Linked DNA regions of Struthio camelus. The protein of the gene in region 2 interacts with the protein of the main gene of each other region in a pairwise test. Links are inferred from orthologs where the notes say so. Each region holds a gene or a part of one and is shown on either strand. Other genes may lie near its edges.

What was found.
Region 1: the proteins of SDCBP2 (region 2) and EIF1AD interact in a two-hybrid assay, tested with the Homo sapiens proteins (3 studies listed by BioGRID and IntAct). The two-hybrid records come from large-scale screens. The link is inferred for Struthio camelus from reciprocal best matches to the Homo sapiens genes SDCBP2 and EIF1AD.

What each region holds. Positions count from the first base shown.
Region 1 is NC_090976.1:755,799-763,154, forward strand, and holds the start of EIF1AD (probable RNA-binding protein EIF1AD), read right to left. Parts: upstream 3,002-7,356; 5' UTR 2,862-3,001; exon of another isoform or gene 2,855-2,861; intron 2,849-2,854; exon of another isoform or gene 2,739-2,848; 5' UTR 2,730-2,738; coding exon 2,643-2,729; intron 257-2,642; coding exon 148-256; intron 1-147. Other genes in the region: BANF1 (barrier-to-autointegration factor), read left to right, coding at 5,089-5,214, 7,032-7,178.
Region 2 is NC_090959.1:18,227,143-18,235,024, forward strand, and holds the start of SDCBP2 (syntenin-2), read left to right. Parts: upstream 1-4,874; 5' UTR 4,875-4,919; intron 4,920-5,386; exon of another isoform or gene 5,387-5,729; intron 5,730-7,882. Other genes in the region: peptidyl-prolyl cis-trans isomerase FKBP1A, read left to right, coding at 1,835-1,947, 2,731-2,859.

The DNA of each region.
Region 1 (7,356 bases), on a different chromosome or scaffold from region 2:
ACGGCGGGGACGCAGCGGCGGAGGCGCGCGGGCGCGAAGGGCCGCGTTGAGCTGCGCGGGCGCGAAGGGACCGGGCCGGGGAGCGCGTAGGGGGCCGGGTGGCTGCGAGGGGACGCGTTGGGGACGCGTCGGGGACGCGTTGGGGACCTCTCTTGATCCAGATGTGGCGGCGGAACTTGGGCGGCATGCTGACGAGGAAGCGGGCGCCCTCGGCCGTCTCCACCTCGTGCAGGTTGTTCCCCGGCGTCCCCAGCACCTGGGGAGGGGGGGGGGGACACGTCGGGGACCGCAGCGTCCCCCAGACCCCCTCCGTGTCCCCTGGGTGGCCCCTTGTCCCTCCTGTGCCCCCTCCTCCATGTCCCTGGGTGTCCCCAGGTGGTCTTTCCCCACCACCACCAAATGTCCCTGTGTCCCCATGTCCCCCCTGGGTGTCCCCGTCCCTCCTGGGTCCCTGGGTTCCCCCCCCCAGGTGTCCCTGTCCCCATGTCTCTCCGTGCCCCCCATGTCCCCCCCGGGTCCCCCCTGACTCTCCTGGGTCCCTGTGTCCCCCCCCCAGGTGTCCCTGGGGTGCCCCCCCCATGTTCCCTCTGGGTCCCCCTGACTCTCCTGGGTCCCTGTGTCCCCCCCCAAGGTGTCCTTGTCCCCATGTCTCTCTGTGCCCCCCCCGGGTCCCCCTGACTCTCCTGGGTCCCTGTGTCCCCCCCCCCAGGTGTCCCTGTCCCCATGTCTCTCCGTGCCCCCCATGTCCCCCCCGGGTCCCCCCTGACTCTCCTGGGTCCCTGTGTCCCCCCCCCCCAGGTGTCCCTGGGGTGCCCCCCCCATGTTCCCTCTGGGTCCCCCTGACTCTCCTGGGTCCCTGTGTCCCCCCCCCAAGGTGTCCTTGTCCCCATGTCTCTCCGTGCCCCCCATGCCCCCCCCGGGTCCCCCTGACTCTCCTGGGTCCCTGTGTCCCCCCCCCCCCCAAGGTGTCCCTGTCCCCATGTCTCTCTGTGCCCCCCCATGTCCCCCCTGGGTCCCCCCTGACTCTCCTGGGTCCCTGTGTCCCCCCCCCCAAGGTGTCCCTGTCCCCATGTCTCTCCGTGCCCCCCATGTCCCCCCTGGGTCCCCCCTGACTCTCCTGGGTCCCTGTGTCCCCCCCCCCAGGTGTCCCTGGGGTGCCCCCCCACGTCCCCCCTGGGTCCCCCTGACTCTCCTGGGTCCCTGTGTCCCCCCGCCCAAGGTGTCCCTGTCCCCATGTCTCTCTGTGCCCCCCCATGTCCCCCCTGGGTCCCCCTGACTCTCCTGGGTCCCTGTGTCCCCCCCCCAGGTGTCCCTGGGGTGCCCCCCCACGTCCCCCCTGGGTCCCCCTGACTCTCCTGGGTCCCTGTGTCCCCCCGCCCAAGGTGTCCCTGTCCCCATGTCTCTCTGTGCCCCCCCATGTCCCCCCTGGGTCCCCCTGACTCTCCTGGGTCCCTGTGTCCCCCCCCCAACCCCCACCCACGGTGTCCCTGCCCCCAGGTGCCCCCCCCCAAGTGTCCCCATGTCCTTTTTGTTGCTCTACCACATCCCTGGGTCCTCTTGTGTCCCCAAGTCCCCTAATATCCCCGGGTCCCCTCGTGTCCCCCCCCCCAGGTGCCCCCATTCCCCCCCCCAGGTCCCCTCATGTCCCCTCTCAAGACCCCCCCCCGTCTCCCCATCTCCCGTGTGTCCCCGCTGCGTGTCCCCACCCCCCCGTGTCCCTGTGTCCCCTTGTGTTCTCCTGCGTGTCCCCCATGCCGTGTCCCCCCATGTCCCCCCGGGTCCCCCCACCGTGTCCCTGTGTCCTGCCATGTCCCCTTGTGTGCTCCTCTGTGTCCCCAACACCCCCAGGTCCCCCTGGCCCCCCCCGGGTGTCCCCACCCCAGGTCCCCCCAGGTGTCCCCATCCTCCCCGTGTCCCCATGTCCCTGGGTCCCCTCGTGTCCCCCCCCCCCGGGTCCCCCCATGTCCTCACCCCGTGTCCTGCCGTGGCCCCAGGTCCCCCCGTGTCCCCTCCCGTGTCCCTTCGTGTCCTCATCCTCCCATATCCTGCCGTGTCCCCCCCCGTCCCGCCTTGTCCGTCCCCATGTCCTCACCCCCCCCCATGTCCCGCCCTGTCCCCCCAGGTCCCCTGGTGTCCTCACCCCCCGGGTCCCCCCGTCCCCCCCCGTGTCCCCCTATGTCCCACCGTGTCCCCCCCAGGTCCCCTCGTGTCCCTCCGGTGTCCCCACCCCCCCGGGTCCCCTGGTGTCCCCCCATGTCCTCACCCCCCCCCCGTGTCCCCCCATGTCCTCACCCCCCCCGTGTCCCCCCGGGTCCCCCCGGGTCCCCCTATGTCCCACCGTGTCCCCCCCCGTGTCCTCATCCCCCTGTGTCCCCCCAGGTCCCCCTATGTCGCCCTGGGTCCCCCCGTGTCCTCACCCCCCGGGTCCCCCTATGTCCCCCCGGGTCCCCGTGTCCCCCCCCGTGTCCTCACCCCCCCGGGTCTCCCTATGTCCCCCCGGGTCCCCCCGGGTCCCCGTGTCCCCCCCCGTGTCCTCACCCCCCGGGTCCCCCTATGTCCCCCCGGGTCCCCCCGGATCCCCGTGTCCCTCCCCGTGTCCCCACCCCCCCGGGTCCCCCCGGGTCCCCCCCCCCCCCGCTCACCCGCACGATGCGCTGTCGCGGCGACGGCACCACCCGCTCGTCCAGCACCTCCCGCGCCACGTGCTTCCGCTTGGTGGCCTGCGACATGCCGGACGCCTGGGCCCGCCGGGACGCCTGGGTCCCTCCTCTGTCCCCCTCCCCCGCCCCAGTAGCGGCGGGGGGGCCCAGGCGTCCGGGCTGCCCCCCTCCCGCCGCGCCCCGCCGCTTCCCACCTCTCACCGCATGGGAGTCCGCCACTTCCGGGTGCACCGCCCTCTGGCGTCACTTCCGGAGACACCGGCTCCTCCCCCCCGGTCCTCCTCTCTATGGTGGTTTCTGACAGGCCGCTGCGTCTCGCCGCGGGAACCTCCCGCGGGCTAGAGCGGCGCCGCGCACCACAGAGTCGCGGCGCCGTCGCCCTAGAGCGCCCGCGGCGACCGCGTTGCTAGGCAGCCGCCGCCTCTCTATGGTCGCTTCCGGGCGCGCCTAGAGCGGTCGCCGGCGGCGGGTGCACTTCCGGCGTGGCCGGAAGTGACGGCAGCGCGCAGGCGCGCGCAGCGGCCAGTTGGGCGGGAGCGGCGGTTGACAGCGGCGGGCGGCGCCGGTGAGGGCGGGGGGGGGTCCGGAGGCTCCCTGGGGGGGGTCTTTAGGGCTTGGGAGGTGCGTGTGGGGAGCTGGGGAGGGCTCTGGGGCTGTAGGGGGCTCTGGAGGGTCCTTGGAGGGGTCTATGGGGCTGAGGGAGCTTAGGGGGTCTTTGGGGGGGGTCTATGGGGTTGAGGGGGCTCTGGGGGTCCTTAGGGGGGGTCTATGGGGCTGTAGGGGGCTCTGGGGGGTCCTTAGGGGGGTCTAATGGGGCTGAGGGAGCTCTGAGGGGTCCTTGGGGGGATCTATGGGGCTGAGAGAGCTCTGGGAGGTCCTTGGGGTGGTCTATGGGGGTTGAGGGGGCTCTGGGGTGTTCTTAGGGGGTCTATGGGGCTTTGGGGGGTTCTGGGGGGTGCTTAGGGAGGGTCTATGGGGCTGGAGGAGGCTCTGGAGGGTCCTTAGGGGGATCTATGGGGCTGGAGGGGGACCTGGGGGGTGCTTAGGGGGTTCTATGGGGTTGAGGGGGCTCTGGGGGTGCTTAGGGGGGTCTATGGGGCTGGAGGGGGCTCTGGAGGGTCCTTAGGGGGATCTATGGGGCTGGAGGGGGACCTGGGGGGTGCTTAGGGGGTTCTATGGGGCTGAGGGGGCTCTGGGGGTGCTTAGGGGGGTCTATGGGGCTGGAGGGGGCTCTGGAGGGTCCTTAGGGGGATCTATGGGGCTGGAGGGGGACCTGGGGGGTGCTTAGGGGGGTTCTATGGGGTTGAGGGGGCTCTGGGGGATTCTTGGGGGGGTCTATGGGGTTGAGGGGGCTCTGGGGGTGCTTAGGGGGGTTCTATGGGGTTGAGGGGGCTCTGGGGGTGCTTAGGGGGGTCTATGGGGCTGGAGGGGGCTCTGGAGGGTCCTTAGGGGGGTCTATGGGGCTTTGGGGGGCTCTGGGGGGTGCCTAGGGAGGTCTGGGGGGCTGTAGGGGGCTCTGGAGGGTCCTTGGGGGGGTGTGGGGCTATAGGGGGCTCTGGAGGGTCCTTGAGGGGGTCTATGGGGCTGAGGAATCTCTGAGTGGTCTTTTGGGGGGGGTCAATGGGGCTAGAGGAGGCTCTGGGCGGTGCTTAGGGGGGTCTGTGGGGCTGAGGGGGCTCTGGGGTGTCTTTAGGGGGTCAATGGGGCTGGAAGGGGCTCTGGGGGGTCCTTAGGGGGATCTATGGGGTTGAGGGGGCTCTGGGGGGTTCTTGGGGGGGTCTATGAGGCTGGAGGGGGTTCTCGGGGGTCTTTGGGGGGGTCTGTGGGGGTCTATGGTGATTGCGGAAGCCTATGGGGCTGTGGGGGACTTCTTGGGGGCGGTCTGTGGGGCTGGAGGGGTTGTAGGGCAGTTTTTGGGGTGTCTATGGGTCCGGGGGGGCTCTGGGGGTCTTTGGGGGGTCTCTGGGGCTTGAGGGGGCTCTTGGGGGGGTCCCATGGGTTTCGGGGGGCTCCCAGGGAGTCTCGGGGGGGGCTGTTTGTGCCCCCCCCCCGGGGCCCCTGCTGCAGCTGCGCTGGGGTATTTATAGCCGGGGGAGGGGCGGGATCGCCTGGGCCCCTGCTGGGGGGGGGGAGGGTCAGGATCGCCTGGGCCCCTGCACGGGGTGGGGGGGGGGGAGAGGGGACAACGCTGCCTCCTCCAGCCCCGGGGGCACCTTTGTCCCCCCCCCCGGGGCTGCCGCTGTCCCCACATTGTCCCCCCCCCCCCCCCCGAGCTGCCCGGTCCCTGTCACCATCCGCGTCCCCGCGTCACCCCCCCCCCCCCGCGGTCTGTCCCCGTCGCTCCTGGGGGCCGTCCCATCCCCCCCCCCCCGTCCCCAACGCGGTGGCACCGTCTGTGTCCCCCCCCCCGCCGGCAGGGCGAGCCGAGATGTCCTCGACGTCGCAGAAGCACCGGGACTTCGTGGCGGAGCCCATGGGCGAGAAGCCGGTGGGGACGCTGGCCGGCATCGGGGACGTGCTGGGCAAGAAGCTGGAGGAGAAGGGCTTCGACAAGGTGGGGACACCCTGGGGACACCGCGGGGACACCCTGGGGACACCACGGGGACCGTGGGGGGTGGCTGTGGGGTTGGGGACACCGCTGGGGACGCTGGCCGGCATCGGGGACGTGCTGGGCAAGAAGCTGGAGGAGAAGGGCTTCGACAAGGTGGGGACACCGCGGGGACACCCTGGGGACACCACGGGGACCGTGGGGGGCGGCTGTGGGGTTGGGGACACCGCTGGGGACGCTGGCCGGCATCGGGGACGTGCTGGGCAAGAAGCTGGAGGAGAAGGGCTTCGACAAGGTGGGGACACCGCGGGGACACCCTGGGGACACCACGGGGACCGTGGGGGGTGGCTGTGGGGTTGGGGACACCGCTGGGGACGCTGGCCGGCATCGGGGACGTGCTGGGCAAGAAGCTGGAGGAGAAGGGCTTCGACAAGGTGGGGACACCGCGGGGACGCCCTGGGGACACCGCGGGGACACCCTGGGGACACCACGGGGACCGTGGGGGGCGGCTGTGGGGTTGGGGACACCGCTGGGGACGCTGGCCGGCATCGGGGACGTGCTGGGCAAGAAGCTGGAGGAGAAGGGCTTCGACAAGGTGGGGACACCGCGGGGACACCCTGGGGACACCACGGGGACCGTGGGGGGTGGCTGTGGGGTTGGGGACACCGCTGGGGACGCTGGCCGGCATCGGGGACGTGCTGGGCAAGAAGCTGGAGGAGAAGGGCTTCGACAAGGTGGGGACACCCTGGGGACACCGCGGGGACACCCTGGGGACACCACGGGGACCGTGGGGGGCGGCTGTGGGGTTGGGGACACCGCTGGGGACGCTGGCCGGCATCGGGGACGTGCTGGGCAAGAAGTTGGAGGAGAAGGACTTCAACAAGGTGGGGACACCGCGGGGCCACCCTGGGGACACCACGGGGACGCCCTTGGGGCCACTGTGGGGACGCAGAGGTGGGGACACCGCAGGGCCACCCTGGGGTCACCCTCGGGGCCACTGCGAGGACATCGGGGACATTGCAGAGACGTGGGGGGGGGTGAGGTTGGGGACACCAGTGGGGGACGTTGGCTGCTATTGGGGACGCGCGAGGCGCGGAGGGGTGTCCTGAGCGTCAGAGGGTCCCCAGGGTGTCCCTGGGGGCTGTCAGGGTGTCCCCAAGATGTCTTTGGGGTGTCAGGGTGTCCCTGGGGGGGGCGTCGGGGTGTTCCCAGGGGGTGTCGGGGTGTCCCTAGCGTGTCAGGGTGTCCCCAGGGGGTGTTGAGGTGTCCCTAGCATGTCAGGGTGTCCCCAGGCGGTGTCCCCAGGGGGTGTCGGGGTGTCCCTAGCGTGTTGGGGTGTCCCCAGGGGGTGTCAAAGTGTTCCTAGCGTGCCGGGGTGTCCCCAGGGTGTCCCCAGGGGGTGTCGAAGTGTCCCTAGCATGCCGGGGTGTCCCCAGGGGGTGTCGGGGTGTCCCCAGGGGGTGTTTAAGTGTCCCTAGCATGCCGGGGTGTCCCCAGGGGGTGTCGGGGTGTCCCCAGGGGTGTCAGGGTGTCCCCAGGGTGTCCCCAGGGGGTGTCAGGGTGTCCCCAGGGGGTGTCAAGGTGTCCCTAGCATGCCGGGGTGTCCCCAGGGGGTGTCGGGGTGTCCCCAGGGGGTGTCAAAGTGTCCCTAGCATGTCGGGGTGTCCCCAGGAGGTGTCGGGGTGTCCCCAGGGGGTGTCGGGGTGTCCCCAAGGGGTGTCAAGGTGTCCCTAGCACGCCGGGGTGTCCCCAGGGGGTGTCCCCAGGGTGTCCCCAAGAGGCAGGGTGCCCCCCGCCCGTGACGCCTGTCCCCCCCCCGCCAGGCCTACGTGGTGCTGGGCCAGTTCCTGGTGCTCAAGAAGGACGAGGAGCTTTTCCGCGAGTGGCTCAAGGACACGTGCGGCGCCAACGCCAAGCAGTCGCGCGACTGCTCGGGCTGCCTGCGCGAGTGGTGCGACGCCTTCCTCTGAGCCCCCCCAAGCCCCCCGAAACCTCCCCCCTGCTGCCCCCCCCACCCCGGGGCTCCCCCCCAAACCTCCCCCCCGGGGCCCCCGAACCTCCTCCCAGGTGCCCGCAGATCTCCCCGAAAGCCACTCTGGGAGTCTCGCTGTCCCTCTCCGGAGCAGACGGGATGCCCCAAAACGTTAT
Region 2 (7,882 bases):
CTATCAGTTTGTGGCCCAGACGTTCTGGCTGCTGTTACAACGCAAGCCTGGACTGAGAGGTAATGTCCTATCGTGTGTGCAGATGGTGCCTTCTCTTGCGCCCGTGGGCAGTGACTCACACTGTGCCCTGGTTAAGGGAAATCACTTTGGCCCATGTACTGCTGAACGAGGCAATGTCTTTGTTTTTCAAGACTAGAGCGGTTTCCATCCAGGAAAGCAGGTTCTTGGGTTTCTTTGGGAAGCAGAGAAGTGAGAAGCATTTGCAGTAGAGTTGATCATTGCTCCCATGAATTTCAAACCATTCAGTGCTGTTAATGAGCCACTGCCTGTCTGGTGCCACAAGCGCTGGCTCTTTCTTTTTACGGTCATAGTTGTTGCAAAAGAGAGATGCGTCTGTGTTCCTCTATCTAGGCAGGAAGACGGGGCACTTGTGATAGCAGATGGATCCTGTAACCCTAGAAGTCAGTTTGCAGGCTCCTTCATAATACTTGTGCTGGGTTAGCAAAGGCAGTGCCCTCTAAGCATCTTGCGCATACTGCAATTGGAGTCTCTGTGGCTTGGGGTCACAGGTCCTCGGCTCAGGTTCCCATACCTTAATGCCTCGAATGGTGCCTGTGCGTGTGCCTGCCCCGTCCTTGAGCCTGGGAAGCCGCGCACTGGTGGTGCTAATGCCCCAGATGCAAAGCGTGCTTCCGCTAGGCTCTTCCCCAGGCTGCTCACGTGCACCTTGGATAGGCTCAGTTCCTAGCGTGGCTGTTACTTGTCCCATAGCCAAGTTCTCCTTGTGGAGTTGCTGCTCCTATAAGGCAGCTCTCTGGCTCTGAGATTCCCCAAGAAGGTCACGCAGGGAGCAAGGGAGGGACTATGGAGAGGGGAGGAAATTCCTCCTTTGCTTGTGTTGGGGAGTTATATTTAGCTTTGCGGATATCAGCCTTGTTCAGTGCTACTTATGAGACATGTGCCGTGGAATGAGGACTGCCTTGGGCATGTGTGTGTGTCCAGCAATTGGCACTGCCTCTCTCAGTAATTCCAGGGTACGAGTGTGATTTGGTTTGTGACCAGTGGGGCCATGGCTGAGCACGGGAAGGGCTGGAAGCTGGAGGCAGAGCCCAGGCTGCGGGCAGGCAGTGCCTCACTGCCCTGCAGTAGTAGCCCTGACTTTTTTTTTTTTTTTTTTTAACCTTGTGTATGTGTGAGGATGAAAACCCGGAAACCTGCCTGTAGCTCATTTCCTGCCTGGCAGGCAGTGAGCAACGCATGTTTCCGAGCGGGAGGCGGTGTTTCCTGGTGCTCGCAGCCTGGCGGGTGGGATGGGATCGTTCTTGAGAAGCACCAGACCTGAACCTGCTACTGGGAACACTGCAGGCTCTGTGCGAATGACTCATGTTGGAGAACTGAGATGGGGAAGGAGTCCCGTGTCCATCTGCTGCCCTTTGTCCTACACTAGCTGGGGACTTTTCTTTGGGTCAGAATGGCAAGGAGGAATAATCCTGCCCTGTCTAAGAGCTGTTCCTCTCTGTGTGGAGAGGCCCCTGCCCTGGTCTCTGCAGCTCCTCCCCTGGTGATGTGCCCTGGGAGATGCTGGTGGGGTGGGGTTTCTCCCACTGGTCCAGCCCGTGCAGGTGTTTCCCCAGGAGGGAGCAATCTGCATCTGAGAAGTCTGACTCACAGCCGTGTGAGCTCTCCTGGAGGGTGACTGTCACGCGTTTAGATGGTTTCAGTTGCCAGGTCACAGCCTGTTTCCCGTGGGTGTTGGGCTTGGCCTGGGGCTGGCTGAGTGGCTCTGTGCGTGTGTGTTACGAATCGCATCCCTACCTCCCCTTTCTCTCCTCAGGTATGCTGGAGGATGGGAAGAAGTTTGATTCTTCTCGCGACAGGAACAAGCCGTTCAAGTTTGTGATGGGCAAGCAGGAGGTGATCCGCGGCTGGGAGGAAGGAGTTGCCCAGGTGCCTGGTGCTTCTGTGTGTCTCTGTCTCCCTTGCAGGGGCTGCTCAGAGCCGTGTGGCTCAGGATCTGCAGCGTGGGCAGAAATCACAATGTGCGCAGCTCTTTCTCTTTTTTACTGTGTATTTTCCACCCCTCCGCCCCCTCTGTGATTGGAGGTGTGGGTGAGAATATCACCTTCTGCATTGCCACCTGCCAGATGGCAGGAATGGAGCAGGTCCGGGCCCCAGGAACACCTACAGCCTGTCGGTGACTCAGCGATGACATTTCTATACTGAGTCAGCGCTGAATGAACGCCACGGGGAGTGCTCAGAGCCTCCCGCTCTGAGAAAAGATGGCTCCTGGGGCTGCAAGCCCACGCAGAGGAAGGGCTGGTTTGCATGGCGTGGGTTCAGTCCCAGCATGCGTGACTGCAGTCAACTGCATGCACTATCGGAAACGCGAGGCTTGTTCCGTGCAGTGCCCACATTGTAGCACAAGGAGGCCAGTGTCTTTAGGGAATGGCCTGGCTGTCCCTTCCTGTCCTACAAAAACACTTGTGTGAAGGACATCTGTAGCCCTGCTCCCTCTGCTGAAGGCCTGCTCCTTTTCCAGCCAGTGCTGCCTCCCTCTCCTGATGTTCTTCCCATTCTTCTTCTATCCCCTTGTCCCTTTGTGCAGCCCAGGTCCTTGCTCTTACCCAGTGTAGGGAACAGAGGGGGACGGATCTGTGTCCCTCCTGCTGTCTCTCACCTGGTGTCCAGGTGCATCTCCTGACATCCCTGTGTTTCTTTCCCTGCTCCCAGATGAGCGTTGGTCAGAGGGCGAAGATGACCATCTCCCCAGATTACGCCTATGGCTCTACTGGCCACCCAGGGATCATCCCACCAAATGCCACTCTAATTTTTGACGTGGAGCTCATGAAATTGGAATGACCTACCCCAACCCCCTGTCCTTGGGTAAGGAGGGAGAAGCAGCTGGTGGTGCTGGGGGAGGACTTTTTAAGGCCCTTCTCTTTGGCCTCAGGCCAGCGTGGGGAGGGGGGATGGAGCTGACAGTTGTTGGGGGGCAGGAGAGGGATGGGGCAGGTGTCTAGCCGCAGGTAGAAGGACTGTTGCTCTCAGGACGCTGATGATTTGGGGAACACTGTGGCGATAGAAGCAGAGTGCCCTGCCTGGCAGAGCATGCCAGGACATTCCTCAGGATCACAGAACAGTTGAGGTTGGCAGGGACCTCAGGTGTCCTGCACTGTGTCCTTCCACAGCAGGGCCTGGCTGCCCAATCCCTCTCATGATGGCCCTGGTGCCTCTCTTGCCTTGCTGAAGGCTCGTTCCCCCTCCATAATTGGGGCTTGAGTTCTGCTTTTGAGGGCACCATGCGGTTTCTAATGAAACTGTCTCATGAACACGCTTCCTCCTCGGCCGTGGCTTTCTCCTGAAAGCTGCTGGGTTCTCTGCCAGCGGCTTTGTTACGGTGCCTCTCTTCTCTCCCAAACAGGTTTGGCACATGGAGGAATCCAGAATCTCAGCTTCAAGAAGAATGCACATGACTTTGTACGGAGCTTTTCCTGATATTCCACTACACTCATTGTATAACCTTACACCTTGATTGAATGCCTTTGGTCACTAAGCTTTGCGTCTGACTCTTCCTCCTTGTATCGTGTTTTTATGTCTTTTTAAACTATACGCCGTAAACCTCAACTCTTTTTGGGTCAAGTTCTTAATCTTATTTTTGTTCCAGGTGTAGACTACGTTTTACCAGTAGTACGCAGATGGCCTGACCTTAGATAGGAGTCGTTTGAACAAAAGGAAACCTGTTAGTTAATTGTTTTGGTGCCGACCTCTATGGTGTACTAAAACCAGAAATTGCTGCTGCTGCAAAAGCCATAGCAGAGTGAGGCTGTCGAGGCTGAATGGATGCGGAGAGCAAAGTAGCACTAGGACTCTGTGTTAGTTACCTGCCTGGAACCGGGGCAATGAGGAAGCAGTTGGTCCTTTCCCTGCTTTCTGGGGAAAGGACAGCATCACTGCATGCAGTGTTTTTACTCCTGGGAAGCTGGGGCTGCTGTACCCCTCCTTCCTCTCCCAACTGTTGACTTTTTCCATCTCATGGTGGACCTTCTGCCCACCTGCTTTTGGATTTGTGGAGATCATTTTCTCTTTAGCCATCAGAGCTCCACAACTACTTAGAAATTCAGGAAATCGCATTGAGCTTTCTTTAAAAAAGAAAACAAAAGGCAAAAGGAAGGTGCTGTCTACAGGGGAGGTGGCAGGGCTGGTGGGGAGTCAGCTGAGAAGAAAACGCCCCCCTTCTACTCTCTCCCCCCTTGAAAGGAAACATCAGACCCCAGTTGTCCCTGGTCTGAACATACCTGACCATTCTCTCCTGACACCTGATGCTGGTCATCGCTGCTTGTCTGGTCTCATACGATGCATAGCTTCCCCCTGCTGCTGTCCTATCTGCCCCCCTCCCTCCCTCCGCCCTGCGTAGTGATTTGGTAAGAGAAATTGCCGCCGTTCACTTCCTTCTCCACTGCATAAAGGTATCAAGTTTTATTATTGCAATAAAAATGCTTTATGCTGGCTTTTCTCAATTCTGTGTGTTGGAGATTTTTCCCTCGCCTGTCTGCCACTTAGTGCTGCTGGCTAACGGCGCGCTGCGGGTGCCCTCCCGGGAGGCAGCCCTGGCCCGGGCTGCCGGCGCTGTTTCGTGGCCGGAGGACGCTGTGGAGGTGAGGAAGGGCTGGTGTTTCACTGTGCTGGCTCGCTTTGCGGTGAAGCTCTTGAGCTCGGCCCTTCAGGCACAGAGGGACGGCTCTGGCTCTGGCTCGCTAGGCGCTTTGGAAAGGCGGTGACGGTGGCCTGCCAGAGTTCGCGTAATTGTCTTACCATAAAACTCTTAAGTGCTGCCTTCCAGGCAGTCGGTCAGCGTTACGGGTGCGCGTTCCTCCTGGCCTGGGCACGGCAGCGAGAGGCTGGCTGCGCGCGGAGGGCAGGTACCTGCTCTCGCAGGGACGGCGCCTGCGCTCGCAAACAGCCCAAGGCCTGGCTGAGCCTCTCCTTCCCGCGGACCGTGGCGGGCAGGGTGGGAAACGCTCGGCGCAGCAGGCACGGGCCCAACTAGTTCTCTGCTCCTTGGCATGATTTTGACTTCTGTTATTGTTGCATGTAGTAGCTGGCTGGGATTTTTTTTATGTATATGTTTGTCCAGTGGTTAGAGGAGAACTTTAGAGGCTGGCCGTTGCTACTGTGCAGCATTGCTCTTCCAGCAGCTGCTATTCACAGGTCAGATCAGCCTGGACCTTAAAAGGCTCTCTGGGGTGTTTTGGTACCTGTCTGGGTGCAGGTGCTTCCTTAGATTTGCAGGGCCTTTTCTCTTTTGCAATGCTTGCTAGAGGGCGGTTGCTGAGTCTGTGGCTTTGGGCTTTTGTGCTGTTGCATGTTCGCTGGTGGCGGCTGGGGAATGTTTTGTGGCTCGTGGTGCAGCTGCTTCACGGTCATCGCCGCTCTAAGCGTCTGTGTCAGGGTTAGGGGAGTGCAGTTTGGTGCTCGGGACGGTTAGCGCTGTGGCAGCCTTCCCGCACGCAGGGAATGGGTTGCATGCTTTGTGTTAAAGGTTCCAGTTCCTGAACGCAGATACTTGGATGCTTTAGTGTAATTCTGCTGCGGCCCCAAGGAAGTGGGGTCGGCAGCCCCAGCAGCAACAGCTCTATGCCCGGTGTCCGGCTCCGCTAATGGCCCTCTGGAAATAGCCTGTGCTTTAGTTTCCCTAATCGATAACGTCCTGGACCCTAAGGGAGGCCGTGGTGAGTCCAAGCGCTTGAGCCTCAGCGGGTTTGTTGGGAGCAAAGTTTGCACTTAAAGGAGGCTGAAAAATGAGCTGTTTGGACTAGCCCTCTGGTGGGTTTGGGAACTTGGGTTTTTAGAAGTGATATGAGAAGACTTAAAGGCTTCTGCAGCTTGGACTGCCACCGTCTGGGCTCCCGGGGCTGGGCCCTCCTTTAGCGCTCACATGGGGTGGTAGATGCATGCAGCTTTCGGTGCTCCCGGCTCGCTGCGCTGGAGTTACGCGGATGTTCCCGGGTGTCCCGGCCCCGTGGCGCGGGCGCTACCCGCCGCTCTGCCCAGGAGCGGGGCTGCCCTCTGAGCCCGCTAAAATGTGCAAGTATTAGCCCTCCCCTTAGCTGCTGCACGTTCGGTTTGAGGTCTGCCTCCCGCCGGGTGCTGCCGCTGCTGGGGCTCGGCAGGCTCCACCGTGGACGTGGACGGCGTCAGCCGGAGCGCGCGGCGCCCGCCGGGCCTTTGTGCCGGGCTATCGTTGCTGCGGCTGGGACAGGAGGGCGGCGCGGGGCCGATGGCGCGTCCCCGCTGCTCTCTGCCGCGGTCCCCCCGGGGTGCCCACCCCTGCTCGCTGGCGCGGGGAGAAGGAGCTGGGGCCGGCCGGCCGCGGGTGCTCTGGCTCCCGCCGTTCGCCGCAGCCACCCGCGACGCGCCGAAACTTGAGGCCAGCATGGGTTTTTCTTCCTTCTTCCCTAAAGCCTTTCGCTTTAATTATTAACCGGTGCCAGGCCGAGCGGTGCGGTGGCTTTCTGTGCTGGCCGTAAGCCAGGGCCCGGCCGGAGGCAGGTGGGTCGGCAGGAGCGGGCAGCCCTGCTCCGCAGCTCCCGTCCCCTCCTCGCTGAGCTTCGTTCCGGTGCCGTTTGCCGGCAGGGCTCCGCGGCCCTGATCTCGGAGGGGCGGCAGCGCCCTGGGCCTCCGGCGTCGGGGACGTGGACCCCGGGCCCGGCGGGGAAAGGGCTTCCCAGTGCCCAGCTTCGCTGCGGGACCCATGGCTCCAGGCTGGTGGAGCAGGGCTGGTACCGGGCCAGCGTAGGGGGGCTGAGCTCCCCCGGCCGGGCTGAGCCCTCGCTCCCGTGCGCTGGGCAGCACGACCGGATCTAAACGTGTCCAGGGCAGCAGGAAGAGCCCACGCTCCCTCCTGGCTTACCTGGAGGCAGGATGAGCTCCTGTCCTGCAGGGAGCTGAGGACGTGCTCAGCACCGGGGCCGAGCACCCTCCTGCGGGCCCTCTGCATCCCGTCCTGGGGCTGCGGCGACGGGATGCAGCTGGCAGGCGAGCACGTGCACGTGTGCATGCAGCGAGTGCAACGTGCGTGTGCATGCGTGTGCCCGCCTGTGCAGCAGTGTGTTTTGTGCGGGACGGCTGTGGGTGCAGGCGAAGGCCTCCTGGCCCGGGAACCCTCCTTCGGGGTGAGGCCGATGGAGGATGTTTTCCCACGGCCGCCGCCGCCGCAGCCCCTCTCCTCCCCAGCGCTTGCTCTGTGCCCTGTTTATCAGCTGCCGGGCTGGTCTGGCCTCGGGTCGGCCGGGCAGCAGGGCACCGGCGGGCTAAAAATAACATGAGTAAATAAACTGCTTCCTCCTGGCCTGGCACGCTGAGCAGCGGCGCTGGCGCTGGGCGGGTGCCGGTGAGCCCGAGGGCCGGGACGTGCCCGGCCCCGTGCCAGCGGCTCATGCAAACCCTGCACTGGCGCCGCAGGCTCGGGACCCGGCTCGGTGCCCACGGGGCCTGGCGGGCAGCGGGACCGGGCTCGCGCCAGCGCCGGCGTTGCTCAGTTTTTCCACTGCGGCGTGGGACCGGCCTCACCGGCCCTCGCAGGGACACGGTGTCCCGGCCGCGTCAGCCCCACGCGCCCGGGCAGTGGGTGCTGGAAACGAGGCGTCAGCCAGCACCCGCCGCCCACGCGGGGCTGCCGGCACCCGGGCATCGCCCTGCCGTGGTGGAGGAGCTGGGTCACGGAGCCGCGGCGGCCCCCAGCTGGCCCGGGGCGCTGGGCAGGGGGACGCCTTGGGGCTGGGGTGGGCCTCCGGCCGGGGACATCGCAGTGGGACGGGGGCTGCGGCGGGTGCTGGGGACCTTCATGGAGCAGTGGGGCCCCCGGGGTGCCTGGTCCAATGGA